Linked DNA regions of Coturnix japonica. The protein of the gene in region 1 purifies or fractionates together with the protein of each later gene. This does not show direct contact. Links are inferred from orthologs where the notes say so. Each region holds a gene or a part of one and is shown in the gene's direction. Other genes may lie near its edges.

Region 1 (3,500 bases):
TCATCGTTTCTTTTGCTGCAGCCTGACAGCTTTAAAGTACAGCTGTGCTGATGGCTGTGTTGCCTGTTGATGGGTTGGTGTGTGGGTGGGTACGTCAGCCAGCAGCACAGCAAGGAAGCTGCTGTCACCCGGCTGGGGCTCAGCGCGGTCACTGCAAGCTGCTGTGTTAATTGGGTCAGCTGCTGTGCTGTAGTGCAGCTCGGTTCCCCTGAGCACTGCTGCTGTCTCCTGAGCAGGACTTTGGAGGCCAACGAGGAGCCAGGGAGGGACCAGCAGCTCTCAGAGCCGTGCAAGTTGTTTGGTGTGGCTGCTAAACTTGCTGTGCCAGAAGTTTGAGTCAACACATTTAAAATAGAGAAGCCCCCCCCCCCCCAAATCTTACACAACAGCTGGTGCTGCCTGATTTTAATAACACACACACAAACTAACATGGCATCGAGTTTAGAACAATAGTTGGGCCACTTCCTTCCTGTGTGCCTGCTGAGGCGCAGCACAGCTGCTGGGTCCCGCTGCTGACAGATGGGTGCCATCGTGTTGTCATCACTGCAGGCCTGAATGCTCTGCTGTAGGATGAGAGGTTTGTGTGTGCTAAGAAACACACACAGAAACAGCCAAGAAGATGCTATTCAGTGTTGAGCTGCTGCAGTTCCCTTCCACCCCCAATGACTGTCAGTCTGCAGAGATGTGGTTACTATGGCAGAATGGAACTGGAAGCTCAGGAGTCCCAAGGGACAATGGCTGCTTTAGTCAAGCTAAAGTCTGCTTTGTGCCATTCACACCTGTTGGTGCTCCTTCCTGCTGGTAAAAGCACTGCGCTGAGTATTGCCAAAATGGAGTTATTTTTAACGTGAGTAAGACTTGATGTGTCAAACGTGCTGACGCAGAGCTTTGTGGTGCTGGCAGGTTGTGTCCTCAGTGCAAAGAGGGAACACCTGTTCTGTGTGCTGTGTTAGCCATGTAGAAAGGCATTGCTCTGAGAACTCGGGCTGTGTTAGTTTGAATGGAGTTTGTGTGTTTCCTGGGTAACTTAATGAGACGTCTTTGTTTTTTATGGTGGCTAAAACAATTTCTGAGTAACACAGTAGGGATTGTCACACCTGGATTATTTGGTTGCATGTCATACAGGTGATACACACAGAGCAAGTGATGCTGCTTAGAGAGCTGGGCAGTGTGCTGAGAGCCAGCTTCTGTTCTTTCTTGCTCTATTTTAGTTAGATATGCATTGGAACTGGTCTTGGTCCCCTGCTCCCTGTTGTCTTCGCTTCTGGAGTCTCTGAGGAGGAGGATTGGTTTGGTGGATAGAGAAGAAGATAATCCTCAGAGAAAAATTGACTTTTGTCATTCATTTTTCCTATTTGTGAACTGACGCTTCATGATTCCTGTCAAATAGGAACTAATGAAGCAAGCATTGATTATATATACAATGTATAAGTGATTATTTTTGTTATATGTGGTGTGTATTTCAAACTCTTATCGGTTTTATGTTCTTCTGAGCTTTTTCCTGAGTTAAAGATAAGTTTTTACATAACAAAGTAGGGATTACCATTTGTTCTGAACATATTTTGATAGTATAACCTAAGCACTGACCTTGTACTGCAGGTTAATGGACCTGATGGCATTCTGCAGAATGGAGCAGTGGATGATAATGTAGCTAAAACCAGCCAGCTTCTGGCAGAGCTGAATTTTGAAGAAGATGAAGAAGATACTTACTATACAAAGGATCTTCCCGTGCATGCTTGCAGGTGAGAGCTGATCGTTTCCTGAAGGTGGGGGCACTGAGTGCAATGTGCATGGCTGGAATATTAAGAGCTGGCAACCGCCTGCTGCTAGGCTGGGAGTGCCCCCTGCTGAGCTCCTGCGTGCTCTGACCGTGCTGCATTGCTGAGCTCTTGGGCCTTTCTTCTAAGGACTACAAAGTTGAGCCATCCTAGAAATGGTAATGATAGAAATAGTTAAAGAGCTTGCCTCAGACCAGATGTTTAACTCATGTGTTAGGTGCTTCCAACAACTCTCATGATTCCTAATTTTCACTTCGCCTTATTTTGTGCACTTCTAAATCTTGTATTTGCATTTTCCTATTAACAATTTCCCAACCACTTCCTCATCTCGTTTCATTTCCAGTTACTGTGGTATCCATGACCCTGCCTGTGTGGTTTACTGCAACACCAGCAAAAAGTGGTTCTGTAATGGGCGTGGAAATACATCTGGCAGGTAAATGATTAAATGATGGAAATTAGATGGGCAAACTTGCTTTAGTGTTTGTTTTGAAATGGCATAATGGGTGTGACTTATATTTTCCACCATGATTGAAGTCTCGTGACTTGAATGTGAACCTCCAACCTCTACCTTTTCCTGTTATGAGCTTACAGCTTCATCTCAGTGGAACCTGAATTACTTTTGTGACGTGAGCTCACTGCTTCTTCCCCCTGTGCTCTTGCAGAGCAGCGTAACTCATGCTGTGATCTCTGGAGCGTCAGGAAGCTGCTTCCAAATAACAATTTCTTACACATTGCCCCTTCTTTCACATTCACTTCAAAGTATTTATGCACTGGAAAAACACTGAAACTGTCAGCAGTCATCTTGGCCTGGATGAAAAGAGCAGGGAATTACTAACGTCTGCCAAAGTATGAATAGGTTTTTGTTTATCTCTTAATAATGACTGAGTTGCTATGTTACATAAAGTTAGAACTAAATCTGGTTTTCATATTGACTGCTTATAAATACACATCCTCTCTGGTTTCAGCCACATTGTTAATCATCTTGTGAGAGCAAAGTGCAAAGAGGTGACTCTCCATAAAGATGGACCTCTAGGAGAGACTGTCCTGGAATGTTACAACTGCGGATGTCGTAATGTGTTTCTCCTTGGCTTTATTCCAGCTAAGGCAGACTCTGTGGTTGTTTTGCTGTGCAGGTGAGAGAATGCCTTTATTACAGTGTTTGTGTTAAGTATTGCACAACTGGATTTCTACATGACAGCCATCAGCTTTCACTTTGTACCTCAGTGTTTTATACTCTCCTTTTTATCCCTACGTCATGTTTAGTATCTTAGATGCTGAGTTTTTTCAGTCCTAATAATACAGAAGAAATTCTGATCAGGATACCTTGCCTCTGCAGTGTTGAAATACCAAATGAAGGAACTGATGAATTGGCTCAGCAGGCTACTAGTGTTGGCTCTCTTCTTTTAACCAAGATGCTTAATATGTTTGAAGAATACATTAAACATGTTCTTATACTTTGGTAGATTCCCTTACAGCTGTTTCAAAGTAATAACTTTTTCCAATATTTTGGTTGTGCAGGCAGCCATGTGCAAGTCAGAGCAGTTTAAAGGATATTAATTGGGACAGTTCACAGTGGCAGCCTCTTATCCAAGATCGCTGTTTCCTTTCGTGGCTGGTAAAGATTCCATCTGAGCAGGAACAGCTGAGAGCACGTCAGATTACAGCTCAGCAGATTAACAAACTGGAAGAACTTTGGAAGGTATTTCCCACATTTCAGATACC
Region 2 (4,225 bases), on another chromosome or scaffold:
TTTTTTTAATTATTTTTTTTATTTAGTGTCTTAAAGACTTTTCTTCATGATCCTCTTGTGGAGTGGAGTAAGCCTGTTAAAGGGAATACAAAAGCACAGGTGAACGAAACTGGAGAAGTTGTCAATGAAAAGGTTGGTTGAAAACAAATACAGCATAAAGCATTCAAATGTTACTTGTCCATTGCTGGTACAATTTGTGTATTTTCTAATAGGAAGCTTAATTTTCCTTTTATTCATTTTCCTTCATTTAAAAATTACTGTATTTTTTCTAATTAGTCTGTATCCCTTTTTAAGGTTAAATATTCTTTTTATTGGTGGAGAATATAATTTATGTACTAAAGAACCAAGCAAAGCAAAATTCATAACTTTGTCATTAGTATTACTAAACCATCAATAACATCAACAGAAAACAGAGGGTGGGCAAGGCTCTTGCCTTTCCATATTCTAAGACATGCATGTGCTCCTGAATTAAGTGCTGGTAATACCTGAAAAGCATTCCACATGTGCATGCATTTATTTACAAGCAGTTCTATGAAATAAAACATCCTAACATTTCCCAGTACTTTTGTGTAGCTTTTCCAGTCTGTTCTGTTAAATTTCATCTGTAAAATTTAAGGCAAAAAGCTGTAACTCAACGGGTAGTCTATTCATTTTAAGTGATAAATAAACCTTTCACTGGTGCAGCCATTTGGGTCTTGTATTAAGTTAACGTGCTGATTGCAGATATCACAATGAAGACTTTCTAAGATGTCTATGAACAGTAGCAATATTCATTTTTTCTTCCTTTCTCTTTGTTTCTAGGCCAAAACCCACGTCCTTGATATAGAACAACGCCTACAGGGTGTTATTAAGACTAGAAACAGAATAAAAGGATTACCCTTATCTATTGAAGGGCACGTTCATTACCTCATTCAAGAAGCAAGTGACGACAATCTGCTCTGCCAGATGTATATGGGCTGGGCTCCATATATGTAACACTTGTTTGCTTCAGAGAGGTGCCATTCACAACTGGTGAAGCAAGCTGTGATATTCTTAAGAAGGTATCAATGAGTGTTAACTGGTTACTTGTGTTTTCTGTTTGTAAGCACTGATACTGGCTTCTGACCAATCTGGTCTATGTAGAATATGCACTTGGAAATATGAATGCGTTTACGTGTTCTTTACATATACAGGGCAGCACATTAAAAGTTAAATAGAATGTACAAGGCTTTGCAAGTTTCTTAGGTACAAACCTACTCTGGGTCAATTCTTGGTGTTGAAAGGATGTATGGTAACTTCAAAAACACTGTATAATTTTGTAAAGGTTTTCTCATTCAGTTTGGCTGTAGAATAAAAAAGTTGACATTAAATTTCATACTGACACAGTTGAGAATTGGTTGTTTAAACTTTATTCTGCATTGCCTCGTACCTGAAAAGAAGGGCCCGATGTTGGTGTGTTCTAAGGGCTGTGCTGCTCTGTTACCGTTAGCGATACGCGGCGCTGCTCGGCAGGGGGCGCTGCAGTGTGTACCCGCCGCTCTGCCCGCCGCTCTATGGCGCGTGCTGCTGTCAGCGCGGTGCGCCGGAAGGAGGGCGGAGCGGAACGGAGCGGAACGGGGCTGGGGTTGTTTGGGTCCGACGGGGCGGCGGGGAGCGGCGGCCATGGGGGTCCCTAAGTTCTACCGGTGGATCTCGGAGCGGTACCCCTGCCTCAGCCAGGTGCTGAAGGAGCATCAGGTAAGACCAAAGCGGGGCTTCGGGGCCCGCCGCCTCTCCTTCCCGCTGCGGAGGGGCCCTGTGGGGTGAGGGCCGGAGCCGGCTGGTCTGCAGCCTGACGGCGGGGGAAGGAGGGAGGGAGGCACGCGAAAGCCCCTGAAGGTCGGGGTGCTCGCTGCCCCAGCACTGGGGGTCCCGGAGCCCCCGGCCGCAGGCAGTGCTGCTGTACCCGCCGTCGTCCCGCTGTATTGATACCCACACCCCGCTTGTGCCTTTTGTTCCCGGCCTCGCCGGCTGCGGGTTCGCTCCGTGCCGCGCTCGGTAACTCCGTTATCGGCAGCGCCGAGAGTCGGGCGGGCAGACCCTGCTGAGAGAAACCGCCGTCGGTAACAGCTGGTCTCAGTCCGTTTCTTGTTGTTGGTTTCCGCCGGTGTTACCGACGTGGTTTTATAGCTAAATAAAGACGTTCTGAGGGGAGGCGGTACGTTGTAGTGTGTGAACGTTGCTTCTAGACACGTAGTGTTTCAGGTGACCCAGTAGCTGTTGTATTAAGGCACCTTCGGCTCTCGAGCGGTCCCTTGGCCCTCCCATGAAGCTGCAGCATCTCCCTGGGCTCCCCGGCTGCTGTCCTGGCGGGCTGAGCGCTGCGTGTCGCCCCGCGGAAGAGAAACAGAAAGCGCTGCTCGGGGCGGCCGTGTCACAGTCACGGTCCATCTGAAGTGTCTGTGCTGTTACTTCCTTGTGTGCGGAGTATCTGCCGCTTATGGAGGAGGGGAAGTGTCTGTACTGCTGTTTATGACCCAGAACAGTAAAATGTATCCGTATTCTTCCTTTTCTTTCACGGCAGCAGAAGGCAGCCTCTCTGGCTGATAACTGCTTACTCAGCTTTTCCAGGGCTTGGAAAATTTACTTTCAGCTTTTTCCTGCTGTGGCCAAGATGCATCAGGTGGCATTTTTTGCCAGCATGCATCTGATGTCCCATTTATTACGAATTATAAACAGAGCATTGACTAAACTGTGCTATCATCATGTCTGCGCAACAAAGAATTTGTTATTTCAACAGGAACCCTGAAATATCCAAGTCTGATGCCCCTTGAGTTGATTTTGTACTCAGTGCCGTGCTGTCTGGTACTGAAGCACCGGGAAACATTATTGAAGTATTTAGACCATCTGCTTTATCACTTAATCTGGCAAGCATTTCTGTCCTGAAGCGTTGACCTTTGGTCCGTGTTCTAGGATTTGGAGAGGTTTCTTCTGTGCAGTCTGACGCCTTTTGATTGGGTTCAGAAGAATTCTGGATAGTTGGGGGACAGAATCAGGAGTGGATTGCAATTAATGCTTGAGTTTTTAATGCTGAAATGTTTATTTCTGCTGATTGGATTTTGTATCAGCTTCACGAGCTTGTTAATGACTGAACTGGTCCTTCCCCTTTTGACAAAATAAGAACAAAATAAAATCTGTGATAGCTGTGGAAATTCCATCACAACAGAAAGAAAATTGCTAAGTTCTAACAGCGGTTTGCTTGGTGCTTTGTGTGGCCCTTCAAAAGCAATCTGAAATGTAAGGTGGTGTTCACTTTGCTTTGTAAACATAGTAGAAGAGTTGTGTCTCCTCTTGAGTAAAAGATGGTTTGTGTGTGACTTGCTGTCAGTCACATACCTTACTCAGGCTCCTTGCAGCCTGGATAGACTGGTTAGGCTGGCACAGTGATCCCTGCTGCTCCTCTATGTGCAGTGCCCCACTGCTTGTTTTCTGAGTGTTTTCTTCGGCAGTGTTGTCTGAGGGGGATGGAGGAAAACTTTCTGATCTGGGTTGGGGTTTATTTTTGTTTCCTCTTCTTTTGCCCACTGTAGACCACTTATCTAGGCGACATCATTCCTTCTGTATGCTATTAAAGACAAAGCTGCTCATAATAATAATAAAAGGCAATTGTCATGTAAAATATGTTTTTTAAAATCATATCGTAACTATGCTGCTTAGGTAGTTTATTTTTCATATATATATACTGCATTGGTGCACAGTACATTACAGGGAAATCTTCCACCTCAATTCATTTCCAGACTCAGCCATACCTTGCATAGTGATTGCAATGCTTCATCCGTCTCCCATTGAGTACTAACTGTGGCTTTTTTAGATTCCAGAATTTGACAACTTATACTTGGACATGAATGGCATTATACACCAGTGTTCACATCCAAACGATGATGATGTTCACTTCAGAATATCCGAAGATAAGATTTTTGCTGACATTTTTCACTACTTAGAAGTACTGTTTCGCATTATTAAGCCAAGGAAGGTTTTCTTCATGGCAGTTGATGGTGTAGCCCCAAGAGCAAAAATGAATCAGCAACGTGGCAGACGGTTTAGGTGAGAATATTTGCTCCTGCTCTGTCTTTAGAATAATAATTATTTCTTGCAAATACATACTTAAAAATATGTTATGACAAATAAAATATATTGTAAGCAGGCAATGCCTTTGACAGTGGCTTTAATTTTTAGGTAAATGAAGGTAGCTGCCACTAAGATGTTA
Region 3 (3,094 bases), on another chromosome or scaffold:
TCCTGGGTTGAATGGTTATAATGTGCCTTTCAAGCAGTCTACAGCACTGTCATAATTTTTTCATCTGTATGATAAGTCTGTGTGGAAAGCATTAATTTATCTTCCCCATGTCTGAATAGATGCCATCGTATACCAGGAGTTCATCCCAGAACTCCAAATAAATTTAAGAAGTACAGCCGTAGGTCGTGGGACCAACAAATAAAGCTGTGGAAAGTTGCGTTGCATTCCTGGGATCCACCGACCGAAGAAGGATGTGATCTGCAAGAAATGTACGTGTGGAATATTCTAAATAAATAGATATATTTAAGATATATATAATAGATACATTAAAACAGCGTGGCCATTTATGAGACAAGTCCATGGTTAGTGCTCTTGAGTGTTACTCAGTTCTTTCTCAGTGATATGAAATAGCTTTCAGTATGTACTTGGTAGGAATGGCATTGCAGCCTTTGCTTCTAAAATGAATCTCCAGTGGATGAAATCAGAGTCGATACCACAGTGCTCTTTAAAGGGAAAAATCATGCCAGTAAGACAGGCTGGTTTTTGCAGAGCAATCTGGATTAGAAGCAGTACTGTGGAGTTCTGATTGACTGGCAGTTCTCTGAGCTCAGACCAATACAGTGTGCTGGGACATGCCTTACAACCTTCTCGCTTACTGGTTCAAGAACAGTGGTATATTCTTGTTTCTTGAGTGGAGTAGAGAAATACTTGTAAAATCAACTCTAGGTACTGTTGAAGTTTAACTGTTATTCACAAGTGCACCCATGGATTCCTACTGAAAGTTATGATTTGCTCTAAGATGTGTATGCTTTCTAATTGTTTCGCAGTAGTCCTGTTGACCTCGGTGAGATGGAGACAGAATCCATAGGAAGCAATTCTACAGAATCTCAAACGAGCTGTCAAGATAATTATGTAAGAAAACCTCTTATTTGCATAAATATTTGCTAATAATCTGTCCAGTCATTAGAATTACAACCTGAATAACCTGTGGGGCGGTCTCTTCTCACTAGTGACAAGTGACAGGATGAGGGGAAATGGCCTCAAGTTGCACCAGGGCAAGTTTAGGTTGGATATTAGGAAGAATTTCTTTACAGAAAGGGTAGTTAAGTACTGGAATAGGCTCCCCAGGGAGGTTGGTTGAATTTGCCATCCCTTGGTTGTGTTTAAGAGCCATTTGGATGTGGTGCTCAGGGATATGATTTAGCAGAGGGTTGTTAGAGTTAGGGTACTGGTTAGGCTGCGGTTGGACTTGATGATCTTCAAGGTCTTTTCCAACCTGGGTAATTCTATGATTCTATGATTCTGAATGGCCTGAACACATGAGAGATTCCATAATCTGCTATATTCAGGGACTGAACAATAGAAAGTGCATGAATGGACAGAAGCTTTCATTTGAATGTTGTCAGTCTTAAGACCAGCCTTAGGTTTTTGTATGGCCTTTAAAGAAGAGTTTGTAAGCCTCTGTTACAAAGTGGCCTAAATGAACTGCAGAAGAAGATAATGTGAATTATTGCATCAATAAACCTGCATTTAACTCCTGTTTTTTAACTGACTTTGTATTCCAGGATACCTGTTCTGGCACTCCCACCAAAGTTAGACACATTGACTATCAAGCAGAAGGCGAATTTGACTTGGAAGCATGTTTGAGCGAGCCTCTTAAAGATTTAAATACTGTGAGTTAAATAGTTCTGTGCAAATCATTTTAGAGCAAGTTTGTTTGAAATCTGAGGCATTAGATTGATTCATCAGTTGAGCGTTTTCCACCTGTCAATAGCAAGAAATCTTAAGCAAAGTTAAAAAGTGAAGCTGTGGTTGGTCTACCTGTTGTCTGGACCAAACTTATGTCTGAATTCAACAGTGTGGCTTCTTTTTACCTTTTAATTTATGTATATCAGATATTTTTTTAATATTTTTTTTAACAAAACTTTATAAAATAACAGCTGAAGGCAATGCAACCCTCAAGGAATTACAGACAATGGGGCAAGATCTTGCCATTTTATTTTCCCTTTGTTATCCTTAATTCCAGTGTTTCACCAGCAGATCCAGAGCAGAGCAGGGAAAGGTTTTTCATCATACATATGTCATTTTGCTTCTCCTTCTGTCCCTACTGCAAAGATCTGCCTGGATGTAATGCAGGTGATAGCAGAAGCATGTTGCTGATCAGCACATTTGTCTGTTGCAGTTACTTCAGTTTTGGCTGCCTTAGTTTATAAAAGCAAAGAAACAACAACAAAAAAAAAACCACCCAACAAACCACAGATTGTTTTCATTTACAAAAATGTTTTTGAAACAACTGGGAAGAAAGTACTTAATATGAAGCGTCAATATGGAAAGACGTAGGTAGCAGTAATGTTACTTTAAAAATACTATAACCTGCATTTGGAACTTGTAAATAGTGGTGAGTTACTTGTTAATACAGACAAGAGCAAAAAATGTCTGGGGAAAATAACCGATTCTTTTTAATTTGCTGGTTTTTAAATGTAAAACTTGTAAATGATAACACTGTACAGACTTTCTGCTGAATGCAGTTGATGTTTCTACTGCTTTTGTATGGGATGTTGCTGGAAAATAAATGGATATGGATTTCTTTATGACTCCCAAGCTTCTTTTCCCACTACGGGTGTTCTGTGGATGACACAAAGGAAACACTGAAGGTCACGTATCTGTGCTGTGGGGTTAAGGTGGTCTTAAGGTCAAGCCACGCTTGTCCATGTCTGTATGGAATCATTCGGTGCTGCTCCTTAAGGCTTCTGTGTTCTAGCTGAAAGGTAAAGGCCTCAAAACCTGACTGCCTGGGTATCATTGTGACTGTTCTCTGTGGCAGATCTTTTAACTTGGATGGTAGGTCTGAAAATTGCATGTGAAGCTGCATGGGAGCGCGATTACGAATCATGACTACTTACTGGGAGATATTCTGCTTTTGTTTTTCTTATTTAATAGTGAATGCATGTGATTGGCATCAGCCCATCAAGGCTTCATGTGGTTCTGCCTCTGTGCCACTTAACAACTGGTGGCAGTTGCTTATGCTGCTTGTACACCTGCCATAATAAGCAGAGATACCCAAACCATCTAGTTTGGTGTTGTCTTGCTGTGT
Region 4 (4,074 bases), on another chromosome or scaffold:
AGGAAATGGCCACAAGTTGTATCAGATGAGGTTTAGACTGGACATAAGAAGGAACTTTTTCTCTCAGAGAGTGGTCAGGTGCTGGAATGGCTGCCCAGGGAGGTGATGGAGTCGTCATCACTGATAGTGTTCAAGAGGTGTCTGGACAGGGAGTTAGGAGATATGGTTTAGGGGTTTCCTGTATGTATGGTAATGGGAGGACGGTTGGACTAGATGATCTTGTAGGTCCTTTCCAACCTTGTGATTCTAGGATTCTATGAATTAGGTTAGTGCTTGTTAAGCTTGTGTCTATACCTCAGGGAGGACTTCAGGAGAAGCTTCTTTCCTTAGTTCTGTTCTATCTGCTCATGTTCTGCCTAATTCTTCATCCTTGCACCTGCATCTCCAGTGCCTCCCAGCACCTGTCCTGCTCCAGCCTGTGATTAACATGTCAGCTAAAGCCATGTCTTACACATAACCTGCTCTCTTGCAATCTTGAACCTCTGTGGGATGTCTTTGCTGTTGTCCTCAAGGTTTTGGTGATGGGGATACAGAAGGATGAGGGCAGACATGACTAGGGTTATAGACAACCACATAATATCGCGACCATCCCTACTCTGGGAGCTAAGGAACTCCTCTCGCCCCTCAGCGGAGTCTCGCGAGATTCCGCCCCTCAAAAGGGCAGTTCTCGCGAGCTTTCCATCTAGTTGCGGGCGGCGGCTCCATGCGGTCGGAGCGGGAGGTTGTGCTGGTAGCGGTGAGGGGCGGCGGCCGCGACAAGTGGCCCATGGAGGTGCCTCTGCGACGGGAGCCGGACACCGCATTCAACCCACCGCCGTCCCCGGCGCCACCGCTTCCCCCGGCGCCGGTTAAACAGCGAGATGAGAAAAAAACGGCGCTGAGCAAAGTGAGGGGTGTTGGGGCTGTGGGGGCGCGTAACCGCCTCGCTCGTGGCGGGCTGCGGCTGCAGGTGCTGTGGTACCGCGGCCCCCTGAGGGCAGCCCTGCCTTCCCCGTTACCGCGGATGTTGAGTTTAAAGGAAATTGCTGTTGGGGAGCGGTGGGAGCGGACCGTCCCGATGGCTGTGTGGCCATTTTGGTGCTCTGCGCGATGCTGTTGAGTCCCGTTGCGTTTAGGGCGAGCGAGCCCACCTTGCTATAGGGAAACGCACCTGTGTGTGTGGTGTGCTGGGCTTCGGGTACCGCCCAGCGTCAGTCCTTGTCGGGACACCGAGGCTAAGGCTGCAGCCGCAGCTCCCAGATGAAGGAAGAGCTTTTAGAAGGGACTTAGGCGATTTATTTGGTCTTTTTCGTGCTATTTAGATGGAGGATAATTCTCTTTTGTCTATGCAGGTGGTTATTCGACGGCTTCCTCCTTGTCTAACCAAGGAGCAGCTGGAGGAGCAGCTACATCCTCTCCCTGCTCATGATTATTTTGAGTTTTGCACTGCTGATCCCAGGTGAGGATGAGGTGTCCGTGTAGGTTTTCAGGTGCTTAAAGGCTAAGTAAGGAAGTTTGGACCCTAAGTTACTTATTTTGCCCACGGAGCCTGTTTTGTAAGTTACGTAAAATGTTTGGATATATACATGTGCGGTGATAATACATCCCTGCCTCTTCCTTGTATACTCGTGGTTTTAAAACATATATATTTTTTGGTGCAATTAGAGCATAGTTTTGTTTGAAAACGTCATCCTGCTTTTAACTTTAATTGGTAAAAATTATTAGGCTGTTAATTGCCTATGAAAACCATGACATAAAGACAACCGAGGGCAAATATCATCTAAATTCTCATGAACGCCATTCGATTATTAATTTGCTTATGTATTCTTGTCTTTATTTCATACCTTTTTTTTTTTTTCCAAGTAATCCACTCTTATTCATTTTTGTCTCATTCAAAATGTAAAAACGAAGCAGTGGTTGACTGACAATAAGGTAATTTCTGATATACTTACTTAACATGCACATCACAGCGCCAAAATGCCATTCCCTTTTGAACAGAGCGATTTCTAGACAAACTTAACCATGGAAGTAATCATAGCATCCAATGTGCTACATGTCCTTGTGCTCAGAATAATTAAAGGATGTGATTCATCTTGCCCAGCTTAGCCTGCTGCTGTGTGTGGTGAATCATCCTCCACATAGATATATGTATATACATAGATATATGTTTTCTCAGAGTCAGTTCCGCAAAGAGAGAGGAACCAGTATCTGTTTAGTAGAACTTTGTGGCAGTTCATTGCTTGCCTGACTTAGGCTGTTAGGCATATACACAGCATCAATACCATGAAGGATGTGAAGGTAGGTAAGGGTAGGATTTAGTCTGCCCTGGAAGACAGAACAAACATTTGTGGTCCTACCTCCATGCTTTTGTAAGACGTGTACATATATCAACTCCTTTTTTACTGTTTTCGTGATAAAGGTTACTTGTAATTTGATAATGTTCTTATTATATGCAAACTGTAAAACTTTTAACAACTTCATATAACTCAAATGTCATTATTGTGTAAACGCTGTTACATCCATTTCAGTAAAATCATTTCACAAAGTTTGACTGTTGTGTTGTATTTCATTCATTTCTTCTGATACATTTGATTCACTGCATTCAGTTCAGTTTTCTCTCTTGTACATTGGGATCAAAATACAAGCAAAAACTCTGTGTTTCTGACTGATTCTGTGGCCTTTAGGGGTGTTTGATAAGTATGCTGTATCCTATAGCTAACAATGAAGAGGCTGCCTACTGGATCTGTCTTGTTCTTAGGTGCCAAAAAAGAGCTACATCTATGGCGCAGTGGTAGGAATGCCGCTTGCAACACCAGAGGCCCGGGTTCGAATCCTCCCTGTGGCTCAAGTGGTAGAAGTGCCGCTCTGCTACACAAGAGGCTCGAATCCTGGGGGTTGGACTCGATGATCTCTAAGGTCCCTTCCAACCCGCACGAGCTTGTGAGACTGTGAGATTGTATCTGAGCCTTCTAAAACATTGGTGCAGTGGTTGAGTTATGGTCCTGCAGCACTCGGGTCATCCCTCAGGATTGGTACTGACTGCAGAACTCACTGAAAATGTGATATATACTATTGTTGGATAAAAAGCTTGAAGGGGTCTGAAACACACAGATGAGGCTTTTATACATTAAGCACTGATGTCCCACTTGTGTTTGAGGACCAGCTCTGTTTGTAGAAGCAGCTCCATCAGAGGAGGGATGTGGAATTTCTAGGCATCGTCACAGCTATGCTTTCATGACCTACCCTGATATCTGGCAGCAGTAATGGAGAGAGAATCTCCATTGTTGTGTGCCTCCAGTGGCGCAGTGGTAGGAATACTGCTTTGCAACACCAGAGGCCCGGGTTTGAATCCCCCTGTGGCGCAAGTGGTAGAAGTGCCGCTCTGCTACACAGGAGGCCCGAATCCCAGGGGGACTCGATCTCTAAGGTCCCTTCAACCCGCATGAGACTGTGAGAATCCAATTTGATTTTGCTACTGTGCATACCAGTATCAGACTGTGGACAAACATGCTGTAGTAGTTATGTATGTTTCTGCTGACATGAAGTTCTTGAAGACTTAAAATGTGTTTCAAAGACGTTGGATCCCCTATTTTGAAGACAGATTCTAAATCCCTGCTTTCCAGGGATTGTGTCTGGAGAACATTTACATGTTCCAGACACTTTTTTTTTCTTACTAACGTGTTTCTTTGTTTGAAAGATACTCTGATATCAAAGTCTAAGCAAAAAACATTAGAAAAATATTATGTTGGAAAATACTGTGCTTCTGTTCCAGATGGGAAATAGATGGTGTTGGTGTGCAAGATGAAGGAAATAACAGGAAAGTGTATTTGCATTTCTTTTTCATGAGTGTTATGTGTCCAACTGTGAGTGATAAGTTACTGCAGAAGAAGTAAATCAAGTTACTGCAGAAGAAGTAAATCTATGGCCAAGCAGTTCTGTGCACTGAGCTGGAGAAGTAGCTTTTTTCAGTTAGTTTTGTGGAAACTGAAGATTGATAAAGCACTGCAATAGTTGTTAAATTGGGGACTTAAACTCAGGACTTCTCAGTCTTTGATAGCAATGATGGCAGAGGACTGGAGCACCTTCCGTATGAGA
Region 5 (4,187 bases), on another chromosome or scaffold:
CCCAAAGGCTTCCCTCCCCTTAAGGACAGACAACATCTTTCCATTCCACGTGCATTTATTGTCACTATAGTCACCGTGCCACCTCAGGCCCCCCCACACTCTGTGGAGCCCAAGGACACGGTTACAGCCACACTGCACTGCAGAGCACCGGGGACTCCCGATAGCAGCCGACAGCTCCGTAGCTTGGGGTCCACATCCATCACACACGGCACCTGTGGGGAAAGTATCACAGAGATTCCTGGGTGGGAACTTTGGAGCAGGGCTGCCCGCGGAGCCGGGCAGGTGGGTGTTCCTGGTATCAGGGCATTGCTGGGATCTGGGCGTTGCTGGGATCAGGGCATTGCTGGGATCAGGGCATTGCTGGGATCAGGGCATTGCTGGGATCTGGGCATTGCTGGGATCAGGGCATTGCTGGAATCAGGGCATTGCTGGAATCAGGGCATTCCTGGTACCAGCCCGTTCCTGGAGCGGAGCATCCCGGTACTCACCGCGGTGCGGAGCGGAGCAGCGGCACCTCTGCTGTCGGAGCGGCGGCTGTAGGGCAGGCGGCGGAGACCGGAGAGCAGCCCCGAGGCTCTGCCCACCGGGTAGGAGAGCGGAGCGGCCGCCTGCCGGTACCAGGGCGCGGCGGGGCGGCACAGCAGCATCACGGCTACAGCCAGAGTCAGGCAGCGGGCGGCTCGCATCGTGCCGGCGGGGGCGCAGCGCTGCGGAACGGCCGCTCCGGGTCTTTATGGCCGCGGCCGCCCCCGCCGCGCAGCACGAGGGAAAGCGCCGCTCCCCGCCCACGGAACCGGGACCGGAGCGGCGGGAGGAGGCGGGGAGGATCATTCCTTGAACTTCCACTCCTGGCGGCACATGGGGCAGTGCTGCTGGACCTGCTGCGAGTGCAGCCACTTGAGGATGCAGTGCATGTGGAAACAGTGCGAGCACTGCCCCCACACCAGCGGGCAGTCGTCCCCGGGCACTTTGCCTGCGGCGTGGACACAAAGTCAGGAAGGGCCGGGTCGCACCGGACCGGGTACCATACCGGGTACAGTACCGGGTACGGGACCGGGTACCGGACCGGGTACGGGACCGGGTACCATACCGAGTACCATACCGGGTACCGGACCGGGTACCATACCGGGTACCATACCGAGTACCATACCCGGTACCGGACCGGGTACCGTGCCGGGCCCCGCCGCACTCACAGTCGGGGCAGCAGCCGTTGAAGGCCATGCGGCAGATCCCGCAGTTCTCGTCGTTCGCCACCCACAGCCACGAGGCGACTCCGCTCCAGCTCCGCACCTTCACCCTCATCGCCGCCGGAAGTGCCGCTCTCCGGTCCGCGCCGCCCCGCCGGAAGTACCGCCCGCCGCCCCCACGAGGCCCCGCCAATCTGAACGCGCGCCTCCGCCCGCCGGTCCCGCCTCTTCCGCTTCCGGCGTCGGCGCAGCGCGGCCGGAAGCGCAGGCCCCGGAGCGGAGCCGCCATCATGGCCGACAAGATGGACATGTCCCTGGACGATATCATTAAGCTCAACCGAAGCCAACGCGGCGGCGGTCGGGGCGGCGGCCGGGGAGGCCGGGGCCGAGGCGGCGTCACCCGCGGGGGCGGGCCCGGTCGGGGCGGCGTGGGAGCCGGGCGAGCGGGCGGCGGCCCCGTGAGGAACAGGCCGGTGATGGCCCGGGGCGGCGGCAGGAATCGGCCCGCGCCGTACAGCCGGGTACGGGACGGGGGCGGGGGCGGAGCCCGGTCGGCGGGGCCCGGAGGGAGGGGGCCGGTGTGCGGGGCGGGGGGCGGCGGTTCGTGGACGGGGCGGGGGCGGTGGGACGGGCGGCCCTTTGTCCGTTGCCGGCGGTCGAGCCGTCCCGGCGGGACCCGGCGGCGCTCAGCGAAACGTCCGTGTCGTTCCAGCCGAAGCAGCTCCCCGAGAAGTGGCAGCACGATCTGTTCGACAGCGGCTTCGGGGCCGGCGCCGGGGTGGAGACCGGCGGGAAGCTGCTCGTCTCCAACTTGGACTTCGGCGTCTCAGATGCGGATATCCAGGTACGGGCTCGGCGCTGTTCCCGGGGGGTTTCATTCATTCCATCGGTGCTGGGTGCTGGGGGTGGCCATAGAGCATTGCTGGCCCTGCTCCCATTGGAAGGGCCCTTCACACGGTGCCTGGCCCTTTGCTTCACGCACTGCTGGGGCTCTGAGCTGAGCAGTTGGAGTGGCTGGATTCAGAAGAGTCCCAGTCTTTATGGAGCTGTAGGTAATCACATATGAAATATCTCTACCACGATGCTGTGGGGGGGATGTTGCCTTCGCTCAGTCCTGCTGTGATTGCAGAGCTTAGCACAGGCTGTGTGAGCTTTTAAGGTCTGTGTAATTCCAGACGTTCAGTAGCTCTATATATACATCTATTGGCGCTGTTTTCATAGTACCTGTTTATGTACTTTTTGTTAAAGTTTTGTTCAGTCTCAAGGTGTTCTTATAGAAGCACCAGTGATATTGAGAAGTCTGGTCTGTGAGGGGGTACCTGCTCGCTCATGTTGTCATTTCCACAATTACCACATGTATCTTATGACAGATAAATGTTCTAGCTGAGTTACCAGCTGCAGCTCAATCCCTTGTTCCAGCTGTGCCCTGGGTGCAGGCTGTTTGCAGTCACTGTGCCTGTGACACAGCAGTCACAGCTGTGGGGCTGCTCTTACTTGTGGGCAACAAGTTGTGCAGAAACATCTGCAGATCCAAGGAGCATCCAATCTGAAGGGTTTTCCTGACTTAGTCACATTGCAAAGAGCTTTGGATGGTTTCTGGTCCTTGCATCTCCTCTAGAAAAAAATAACTAAATCACTTCTATGTTTTCTTCTGTTAATTCATTCCGGTTCAACCTGTCTGCATCAGGAGTATTGGAAGTGAGCTTTTTTAGGTCACCTAGTTATTGAGCGATGCACTTAAAACCACTGTTTTTTCCTCAAGTGAGTTTAGTTTCAGTTGATATACATTTCCTGTTTGCTGTAATCAGGCCCAAACGTGTAAAAGTGAATCTGTAAAGTTATCTCAATGTAAGGAATTAATGTGTTTTGTGTGGCAGTTGAATGTTTCCTTTTCACAGTTGGCTTGAACTGCAGGAGCAGACAAACATCTGTGTATATTATATGTAGCAGCAAAGCTGACTTAATGGGTTTGTACCTCTTTGTTACTGCCCATCCCGTAATTTTCCACTAAGCTGCACTGATTGTTTTCTTTGTTTCTGTGCTGATTGTGTCATTAATATGGTTCTGCTCAGCTCAGTGCTGAGGAATGAGGGGCTTGGTGGGAGCCTCGTTCACGTTGCTCTTGTAGGAGTATGTGTGGTGCTGTGGCTCCAGCTTCTCTGCAGGACAGGGATGTGATGGAGCACCTCTCCTCCCATGTGGTGCTGTCTTCCAGAAAGCTTGTTGGGTGCTGTATGTTCATGTTTAGTAAATGGACACAGTAGAGAAACTCACTGACAGGCTTGCATAAAGTGCAGCTGGCTTAAGAAGTGAAAATATTTATATGCTCCTTTCAAATGCTTGGATAGGAATTATAGAGATGGCTGGAATAGTGTTTGGGCTCTGCTGCAGGTGATATGGAAGGCAGCCTGTGGTGTCTGCTTTGGACACCTGACAATTCTGTGTGCTTCAAACATTTGAAGAGTGGGGTGTAGGTATAAACTTGCAAAGTAGTGAGATGTCCCCAGATGTACATCTTAGATGTAGCCTCTGTGAAACAAAATGGGTGGCTCCACTGTTGCAGCCTTCCATCGCTCGTGATGGTAAACGATGCTCTTCAGTAGAAGATTTCCTGCTTTCAGTTTATACAGACTGGCAATGTCCCTGGGAAGAGGAGCAGGTCAGCATACCTTGGGGCCACTTTGTTGGCTGTATACAAGCACCCTTCAAGTGGTGGATATGAAATCCTGTTTGTTTCTGCCACCTGTGGCTGCTTTCTGGAAGTCTTTAGTGGCCTGTGTTCCTTCTTTCACTGGTGCTATTTGCGTGGTGTCATGGAATGTACATGATATTGCTGAAAGCAGGAGCTGCCTGCACCTTCTCTGGGCTGCTCGGTGTTTGCAGAGCTGACTGAAGCATATTCACTTCTCCCTCTGTTTCTCAGGAACTCTTTGCGGAATTTGGGACCTTGAAGAAGGCAGCAGTGCACTACGACAGATCCGGACGCAGTCTAGGAACAGC
Region 6 (4,009 bases), on another chromosome or scaffold:
TCTTTGCCCTGGAGGAACCGTGCATCAGCCTCCAGCTTCACTTGATGGCTGATGGCTTGCTGCAAAAGCAGCTCTTTCACCTCCATTTCAGTCTGAGCATCCCTGGAACAGACAAGCAACATGTCTGAGAGCAGTTGAAACACATTCTCAGATTACTGTGAGGTCCAGGCATCCATGCTCACCCCACAAAAAGCAGAAGAGCAGAACTTGTTTGGAGGGATACAGGAAGCGCAAGTGAAGTGCACACAAGGGATCTTCAGGGGCTTGTATGCCACTCACACAACGTCCAAATAAGTGAGATATTCAGAAAGGGGGACTGGGATAAGGAGGAAGAGACAGTGGGGACCCATTTTCCCTGTTCAACCAAAAGAACCCTTCCTACTTGAGCTTGCCCTGGCTATGGTTAAGGGCGATGTACTGCTCGTCCAACTCCCTCCTGAGCTGCAGGCAGCGTCTCTCTGCTTTCTCCAAGTCCAGTCTGGCCGTGTCCCTCTCTCTGGAGATTCGCCTCACCTGGCTTCTGCAGGCAGAGCAAGGGTGCGTTCAGCTCAGAGACACCTCCTGCAGCCCAATGGAGGCTCTGCCCCTCACGAGGAGCAGCACCCTTACTTGAGGCACTGCAGTTTGTACGTATAGGAGGTGATGTCTGCACGCTGCAGCCCACTCTGTGACACCATGGCTGTGCTGTCCAGGGCTGCAGGCAGCTCTGCCGGGCTCCTTCGGTCTCTGAAACAGAAGCACTGAGTGAAACCACTCTTCCTTTCTGTCAACACCTCTAATGTTACGCCACCTGACTGCTCTCAAGAGGCAGCTTCCCATCTCAACAAGAGCCTTAGTTACAGAATCACAGAATCACAGAATGACCCGGGTTGGAAGGGACCTCAAGGATCATGTAGTTCCAACCCCCCTGCCTGGCAGGGCCACCAAACATACACCTTTACTAGATCAGGTTGCCCAGGGCCCCGTCCAACCTGGCCTTGAACACCTCCAAGGACGGGGCATCCACAACCTCCCTGGGCAGCCTGTTCCAGGACCTAGTTAACACCCACCCCAGCCCTGTGGTGGCCAAAGCCCACCCTCCCATTGCAACCTGCCCACGATCAGTTCTCCCACCCCTCACACACACACCAGCCCCAAGCCCTGACCCCAGCTCCAAGCCCCGCTCGCTCCCGTCCCCGCCCCTTCCTCTCTCCCACCTCTTCCGCCGGATCCCGCTCATGCGCAGCGCCCTGTGTGCGGCGGCGCCGCCATTGTAGTAGCTCGCGGTTAGGGCGACCAGGCCTGACTGAGCCATGTCGGGGTCCGCGGGCTCCGGCGGCACCACCGGCTCGGCGAGGAAACGGATCATGAAGGAGGAAGACATGACCAAGGTGGAGTTCGAGACGAGCGAGGAGGTGGACGTGACGCCCACGTTCGACACGATGGGGCTGAGGGAGGACCTGCTGCGCGGCATCTACGCCTACGGTGCGCGGCGGGAAGGCCGAGGCGGTGTGGGGGAAGGGGGGGAGGAAAATGGCGGCGTTGCGCTGTAACAGCCATGTCCTGCAGGGTTCGAGAAGCCGTCGGCCATCCAGCAGAGAGCCATCAAGCAGATCATCAAGGGACGAGACGTGATCGCGCAGTACGTGGGCCGGGGGGGAGGGATGCGGGGGAGGGGTGGGTGCTACCTCCGGAACGGCAGAGAGTTCACTACACCTCTGTTCTCAGGTCACAGTCGGGAACAGGGAAAACGGCCACGTTCTCCATCTGTGTGCTGCAGTGCCTGGACATACAGGTAGGCCATACTTGGAACATGGCGGTTGTCTTTATGTGAGGGTGGTGAAACACCGGCACAGGTTGCCCAGAGGCTGTGGATGCCCCTCCCTGGAGTCATTCAAGGCCAGGCTGGATGGGGCTGTGAGCAGCCTGGTCTGGAGGGAGGTGTCCTGCCTATAGCAGGGGTTGGAATGAGGTGGTCTTAAAGGTCCCGTCCAGCAGGTCAAAGGAGGTGATCCTTCCCCTCTACTCTGCCCTGGTGAGGCCTCATCTGGAATATTGTGTCCAGTTCTGGGCTCCCCAGTACAAAAAAGACAGGGATCTCTTGGAAAGAGTCCAACGGAGGGCCACAAAGATGGTGAAGGGCCTGGAGCATCTCCCCTGTGAGGAGAGACTTAGGGAACTGGGTCTGTTTAGCCTTGAGAAAAGAAGGCTGAGAGGGGACTTGATCCAGGTTTATAAATACCTGAGGTGTGGGAGCCATAGTGGTGAGGCTGGTCTCTTTTCAGTAGTGCATGGGGATAAGACTAGGGGTAATGGGATGAAAGTACAGCATAGGAAGTTCCGCACGAATGTGTGGAAGAACTTCTTTACAGTGAGGGTGACGGAGCACTGGAACAGGCTGCCAAGGGGGGTGGTGGAGTCTCCTTCTCTGGAGATATTTAAGACCCACCTGGACACCAACCTCTGTGATGTGGTGTAGGGAGCCTGCTTTGGCAGGGAGGTTGGACTTGATGATCTCTAGAGGTCCCTTCCAACCCCTACAATTCTGTGATTCTATGTTTGCTTTCATTGGAGGGCTGAATCTATTTCTCTGGCATGCATTGTGTGGTCAGGCACAGTCTTATAACATAATGTAAGGGGCTATAAATGTGTAAGCACTCCATGCGGGAGCAGCTTTCTGGGTGTGCCGATGCAAAATTGTACCATTGATCATTCAGATGTGACAATTCAGGGTACTGTGGGCTCTATTCTGTTTGTTTCTGCTTGCACTGTACTTGCTATGTGATGAACTGCCGTGTGATCAACAGGTTCGCGAGACCCAGGCACTGATCTTAGCACCAACTCGAGAGCTGGCTGTGCAGATTCAGAAGGTAGGAACATGTGAATTACTGCCTGTACGGTACTTATAAAGACTGATGCAGATTCTCCAAGTGTTCCCCAGCAGAGCTAGAAGTGCAACTTTTGCTTTTCAAAGGAATGCGTTGTCCTGAATGGAATAAGAAATCCCAATGAAGGGCTGTTTCTCCCTTCTGTGTTATATCCATTGGTCCTTACAGGATGGGTTAGTTAGCAGTCTTAATGTTTTACGTATTCCTACCTGGATTTCTAAGTACAGTACTCTTTAAAAGTAGTTGTGATTCCTGGGATATAAACCAAATCCCCAGCCTTTGAAAGCCTGCCATAAGAGCTCAGTTGATTCATTATTTATGTCCAAATAGGGTCTTCTTGCTCTGGGAGACTACATGAATGTCCAGTGTCACGCCTGCATCGGGGGGACCAACGTGGGTGAAGATATCCGAAAGCTGGATTATGGGCAGCACGTTGTTGCTGGCACTCCAGGCCGGGTGTTTGGTAAGAGCTGGGAGACTGTGTGCTTCCATGTTCACACTTCAGTTGAGCCATGGGACCATCCTGCAAATTTAATGCATTTAGATTTGGAATAGCATGGAAACTGCATTTATTGTGATACCATCAGTGTATGCAGTGATGAAGAGCAACAAAGGGTAAATTCACTGTAGTAGTAGCTGGAAGAGATGAGAAAGCAAACATTGGGGAAAGAATTAGGATTATCTGTTTATCCCTTGCTTTTATTAACAAAGTGGTTGTTTACATCGTGCCATAGAAAACAATATTATTAATGGTGATAATATTGCAATCCTGGGCTTATCTCAGTGTTGTGGAAGAGATAGGAGCTGGGTCTGTTTGAGTCTCAAAACAAGAAACAGAATGCCCATGTAAAATGTCTGTCTTCTTCCTGCTTATAAGCTCCCTTCCACTACTGGAAGGCTGCAGTGAGGTCTCCCTGGAGCCTTCTCTTCTGTGTCCACTTCCCCTGGTTGCAGGGTGTATTGGGGAGCACTGTGGCACTTGGCTCTGCTTTTCCATCACCAAACACCAGTCTCTGTTGGCAACAGGGGAAGTGCCAGTCCCTCCTCCAGTGAAATGCACTGACAGCGGCTGGGAGCAGTGTAGGCTCACTTGCTTTCTGAGCCTTTTCATCTTACAAAGTGAAATCTTACAGATATGATCC
Region 7 (3,500 bases), on another chromosome or scaffold:
CCTGTGCTACTATGTGGAATGGATAACACAGGGCTTTGATCTCCATTTTTGAAGAGGAAAATAAGTTCTGTGCCAGTCTACAGTAAAGCTCTGAGGAAAATTATAAGCTTACAGAATTGCTTATGACTTTCTCTTCTGCAGTCTTCAGGCTACTATAAACTGAAAGGGAAAAAAATAAGAAATGAGGAAAATAATTTTGCTTTCATCTGTGTCCTGTGACTAATGTCATGCTCCAAAAATATGCATCTTTAACGTAGAGAATTGAATCTGTAACTCAGACATCTGTAACTGTCTCATTTTGAGTGGGATCTGGTGAAGTACCAGAAGTTATGATAAAGTAATACTGACTGGTTGTATTTCTAAAGGAATGTGGTTTTGCTGAGGGGAGCAGTGTAATTGATATTATTCCCTCTCTTATTTCAATGCTAGGAACTTGGATTTTTCCAAAGGCCACCAGGCAATTACAGGAGACAAAGAAGGGCAACAGCGTCGGATACGGCAACAGCGACTGATCTTCACAGGCAAATGGATTGCTGATAACCAGCCCAGGTAATCACAAATAGCTTTAGGTAGCAAATAGTGATTTTTCAGTTGCTACTGTAAGCTTAGGCAGTACAAGTGACAGAGGTGAACTTGTTTTTCTCATTATTTTAAAGAGCAATTTTATATAAGGTGTACACATTTCACTGATGCTGAAAGACTGGCAGCACTAATAACGTGCTGTGAATTAGTATGCTGTTACATGAGCTAGTTCTGATAGGAATGTATTTGTAGTGAAACATCATATTTGATAAGGCCTTCATAGTGATACTGAAGCAAAGCTGAGATGAGAGGAACAGCAGTAGCAAGAGTGCTAATGTGTGAGATTACTACATGAAAACCTGTTTGGATTTGCTTTTCAATTCCTCTGTCTTTTTCAGGCTGATTCAGTGTGAAAATGAGGTGGGAAAGCTGTTGTTCTTGACTGAAATCCCAGAATTAATACTAGAAGACCCTAGTGAAGCCAAAGAGAGCCTCGCCTTGCAGGAAACATCTATTGCAGAGCCGCTGTCCACAGATGGGAGCCCTGGACTCAAATCAGTTCTGTCATCTGGCAGAAGTTTAAACAACTGTGACTCAGGAGAAAAACCAATGGTCACGTTTAAAGAAAATATTAAGCCACGGGAAATGAACAGAGAGCAAGGGCGAATCTATCCTCCTAAGGATGTGGGTAGGGAAAGACGGGACTATAGCAAAGGAATAGTAGCCAATAAGAATGATGGAAAGAAGGATAACAACAAAAGAAAGACCGAAACAAAGAAATGCGGTGTGGATAAGATACAGGAAGCAGGAAAGCAGAATGTGGCAGTTCAGGTAAGCCTTGAGATCAAAGGGACACTGTATCTTAGGCAGTATGATATTTGAGTGAGGGCCATCACTGCTTGCACAGAATACTGTAGAACTGAGGTCTCTATGGATCCTGCAGATACCTGTATTGCGCAAAGAACCTCAGAGACCAGTCATTAATTATCTTTGGATTTCTGCCCCTTTCCTTAATGCTGTCTCAATTTTGGGGGGAGGAAAAGTTGAGGAGTGGTGAAAAGTAAAATTTTGTGTGTTCATGTTTTTAAAGAGCAAGGACTTGTAGCTGTTGTTCCACATATTGGTCAGGTTAACAGAGCAGCTTGCATGACCAGGTCCTAGTCACACTCTTTCCCAGCTGTGTTTTACTGTGAAGGAGCTGGGTGGTACTTTGCATTTTCAGTTCAGTTGCTTGCACATTCAATAAATTGACTGCATCACTGTACTACATGTGAAGTCAGATAGACCTCCTTGAAAGTAAAGAAAGCCACACAGCTTTTAGACTGCAATTAGACTGCTCACATCCTTGTTCAGAATTGTTGGTTATCACATCAGCGGTTCTTTTCTACTTGTGTTTTTCGAAGGTGTGGGTTTTTTCCTGCACTTACATGAGCATTGTGTACAAAAAATGGTCACCTTTTAAGCAGAACTTACTGTTCTGGCTTCCGTTGGGGTGTAGTGATAATTTCAGGGTTTATCTAGTCTGTACCTGGAGAGTTTTGTCTGTATCTCAGCCGTTTCCAGGTATTGTCTGGAGGAGTTTAATGACAGTGATGGGGAGATGCTGTTATTTCTCTAGAGAAACTGTGTGAGTTCTTCACCATTCTTACAAGGAAAATCTTTTTCCTTATGCACTTATCTCCCTTGCCACTGCGTAAGCCAACTACTTCTACTCTCTGATAGCCTTATTTGCAAGATCTTGTTTTCCCTAGTCTAGACAAACCAGTTCTTTGAGCCTTTATAGCTTGCATTGGTAGGACCCTCGAATCATTTTTATTATCCTCCTGATTATTTCTTGTTAGGCATTGTCATTATGAGCTGGAAGGTCTGCACTGGCAGCATTTGTTATTTTTTGGCAAGGCCTTTGCTGGTGTGAAGGAGAGTAGCTTGCAGAAACCATGTGGCAGTTGCTTGTGAGTCACTGAACAAGAGACTGGTACCTGAAAAACAGCCTAGGTAGGTGAGTTAGAATAACAGGAATTTATTGAACATGTCTGGAATGTGGTTGCAGGCCTGAGCATAAATCCCAGGCTCAGTGTTTGTGCCGCAGTCTTGAAAAAGGAGGACTTGAAAAAACATGATGTTCTGATAAGTCTGTGTGGTTTTTTGCATACGGAAGATGCTGTCATTTTGACTTAGTTGATCCATCAAATATTTAATGGTTTGTTTTGGTTTTTTTTTTTTAGTTTTTTTTTTTTTTTAAAGGTTTTTTTTTAGTTTTAAGACTTATAAAACCACCAAAACACGTTTCAAATCCAACTGTAGCATACTGTGTTCTGATCTGTCTGGTTAGTGTTCATCTCTTGTTTCCTAGTTATTAACCTTGACTTTTTAGCCTGATCAGCTCTATTTACATTAACAATTACAGAATTTTTTTTATTTAATACAACTGGGAGGACTTATTTACCCATATCTACTGCAGAACATGGGGAGGGTTTTCTCCTTCCCCTGCTGAAAAAAAGCCAGTGTAGGTTCTGTACCAGTCAGAGGTCTACTTGCTTTCTCTTTCCTTGAAACTTTAAGCTTTATCTACTTCGTAGTCGATTCAAAAGCCTCAAAGCTACAGTCATTGCAGATCCTACCTTGCAAAAATGTTAAGAATGCTGTAGGGAAGTAATTAATCCTGTTTCGTGGATTAGTGGGGAAATTGCATGCACAGGATCATGAAAATGTGGCACAGGTTGATTTTCCTCAGTAGAGGTGATGATGCTAGATGCAAAGAAAGATATAATGCAGAACTTACTCAAGGTATTGTATTTTTGAAAGGCCACTGGGAGGAAATGGTGCCTCACCCAAACACTAGGTGGGAAGCCTCAAGACCAGTAGGGATGTAAAGGTTTGGTAGTATTGCTGCTTCTGAGGTGAGATCAAGTTGAAGCAAGGGAAGCAATTGAAATATGTCTTTCTTGATTAAACAAATTCAGTAAGTTAGCTTTCAG

The links.
Region 2: the proteins of UPF1 (region 1) and XRN1 purify together in Homo sapiens (affinity purification with western blotting; 4 studies listed by BioGRID and IntAct, with this or other methods). This does not show direct contact. The link is inferred for Coturnix japonica from reciprocal best matches to the Homo sapiens genes UPF1 and XRN1.
Region 3: the proteins of UPF1 (region 1) and histone RNA hairpin-binding protein purify together in Homo sapiens (affinity purification with western blotting; 4 studies listed by BioGRID and IntAct, with this or other methods). This does not show direct contact. The link is inferred for Coturnix japonica from reciprocal best matches to the Homo sapiens genes UPF1 and SLBP.
Region 4: the proteins of UPF1 (region 1) and UPF3A purify together in Homo sapiens (affinity purification with western blotting; 5 studies listed by BioGRID and IntAct, with this or other methods). This does not show direct contact. The link is inferred for Coturnix japonica from reciprocal best matches to the Homo sapiens genes UPF1 and UPF3A.
Region 5: the proteins of UPF1 (region 1) and ALYREF purify together in Homo sapiens (co-immunoprecipitation; 3 studies listed by BioGRID and IntAct, with this or other methods). This does not show direct contact. The link is inferred for Coturnix japonica from reciprocal best matches to the Homo sapiens genes UPF1 and ALYREF.
Region 6: the proteins of UPF1 (region 1) and EIF4A3 purify together in Homo sapiens (co-immunoprecipitation; 8 studies listed by BioGRID and IntAct, with this or other methods). This does not show direct contact. The link is inferred for Coturnix japonica from reciprocal best matches to the Homo sapiens genes UPF1 and EIF4A3.
Region 7: the proteins of UPF1 (region 1) and SMG7 purify together in Homo sapiens (affinity purification with western blotting; 7 studies listed by BioGRID and IntAct, with this or other methods). This does not show direct contact. The link is inferred for Coturnix japonica from reciprocal best matches to the Homo sapiens genes UPF1 and SMG7.

The regions. Positions count from the first base shown.
Region 1 is NC_029543.1:2,808,894-2,812,393, reverse strand, and holds part of UPF1 (regulator of nonsense transcripts 1), read left to right. Parts: exon of another isoform or gene 1-374; intron 375-1,599; coding exon 1,600-1,742; intron 1,743-2,121; coding exon 2,122-2,211; intron 2,212-2,743; coding exon 2,744-2,911; intron 2,912-3,296; coding exon 3,297-3,477; intron 3,478-3,500. UniProt on the Homo sapiens protein: RNA-dependent helicase required for nonsense-mediated decay (NMD) of aberrant mRNAs containing premature stop codons and modulates the expression level of normal mRNAs.
Region 2 is NC_029524.1:8,847,450-8,851,674, reverse strand, and holds the start of XRN1 (5'-3' exoribonuclease 1), read left to right. Parts: upstream 1-1,425; coding exon 1,426-1,716; intron 1,717-3,829; coding exon 3,830-4,062; intron 4,063-4,225. Other genes in the region: serine/threonine-protein kinase ATR, read left to right, coding at 27-132, 802-975. UniProt on the Homo sapiens protein: Major 5'-3' exoribonuclease involved in mRNA decay. Required for the 5'-3'-processing of the G4 tetraplex-containing DNA and RNA substrates. The kinetic of hydrolysis is faster for G4 RNA tetraplex than for G4 DNA tetraplex and monomeric RNA tetraplex.
Region 3 is NC_029519.1:76,098,016-76,101,109, forward strand, and holds the end of histone RNA hairpin-binding protein, read left to right. Parts: intron 1-119; coding exon 120-269; intron 270-827; coding exon 828-912; intron 913-1,565; coding exon 1,566-1,682; 3' UTR 1,683-2,594; downstream 2,595-3,094. UniProt on the Homo sapiens protein: RNA-binding protein involved in the histone pre-mRNA processing.
Region 4 is NC_029516.1:123,396,221-123,400,294, reverse strand, and holds the start of UPF3A (regulator of nonsense transcripts 3A), read left to right. Parts: upstream 1-1,274; 5' UTR 1,275-1,301; coding exon 1,302-1,438; intron 1,439-4,074. UniProt on the Homo sapiens protein: Involved in nonsense-mediated decay (NMD) of mRNAs containing premature stop codons by associating with the nuclear exon junction complex (EJC) and serving as link between the EJC core and NMD machinery.
Region 5 is NC_029533.1:4,445,422-4,449,608, forward strand, and holds the start of ALYREF (THO complex subunit 4), read left to right. Parts: upstream 1-1,387; 5' UTR 1,388-1,477; coding exon 1,478-1,708; intron 1,709-1,899; coding exon 1,900-2,031; intron 2,032-4,110; coding exon 4,111-4,187. Other genes in the region: NPB (neuropeptide B), read right to left, coding at 84-212, 489-686; ANAPC11 (anaphase-promoting complex subunit 11), read right to left, coding at 828-973, 1,194-1,302. UniProt on the Homo sapiens protein: Functions as an mRNA export adapter; component of the transcription/export (TREX) complex which is thought to couple mRNA transcription, processing and nuclear export, and specifically associates with spliced mRNA and not with unspliced pre-mRNA.
Region 6 is NC_029518.1:14,287,432-14,291,440, forward strand, and holds the start of EIF4A3 (eukaryotic initiation factor 4A-III), read left to right. Parts: upstream 1-1,209; 5' UTR 1,210-1,292; coding exon 1,293-1,464; intron 1,465-1,548; coding exon 1,549-1,621; intron 1,622-1,707; coding exon 1,708-1,774; intron 1,775-2,786; coding exon 2,787-2,849; intron 2,850-3,197; coding exon 3,198-3,330; intron 3,331-4,000; coding exon 4,001-4,009. Other genes in the region: NINL (ninein-like protein), read right to left, coding at 1-102, 383-520, 610-677. UniProt on the Homo sapiens protein: ATP-dependent RNA helicase. Involved in pre-mRNA splicing as component of the spliceosome. Core component of the splicing-dependent multiprotein exon junction complex (EJC) deposited at splice junctions on mRNAs.
Region 7 is NC_029523.1:4,337,830-4,341,329, reverse strand, and holds part of SMG7 (protein SMG7), read left to right. Parts: intron 1-429; coding exon 430-549; intron 550-920; coding exon 921-1,353; intron 1,354-3,500. UniProt on the Homo sapiens protein: Plays a role in nonsense-mediated mRNA decay. Recruits UPF1 to cytoplasmic mRNA decay bodies.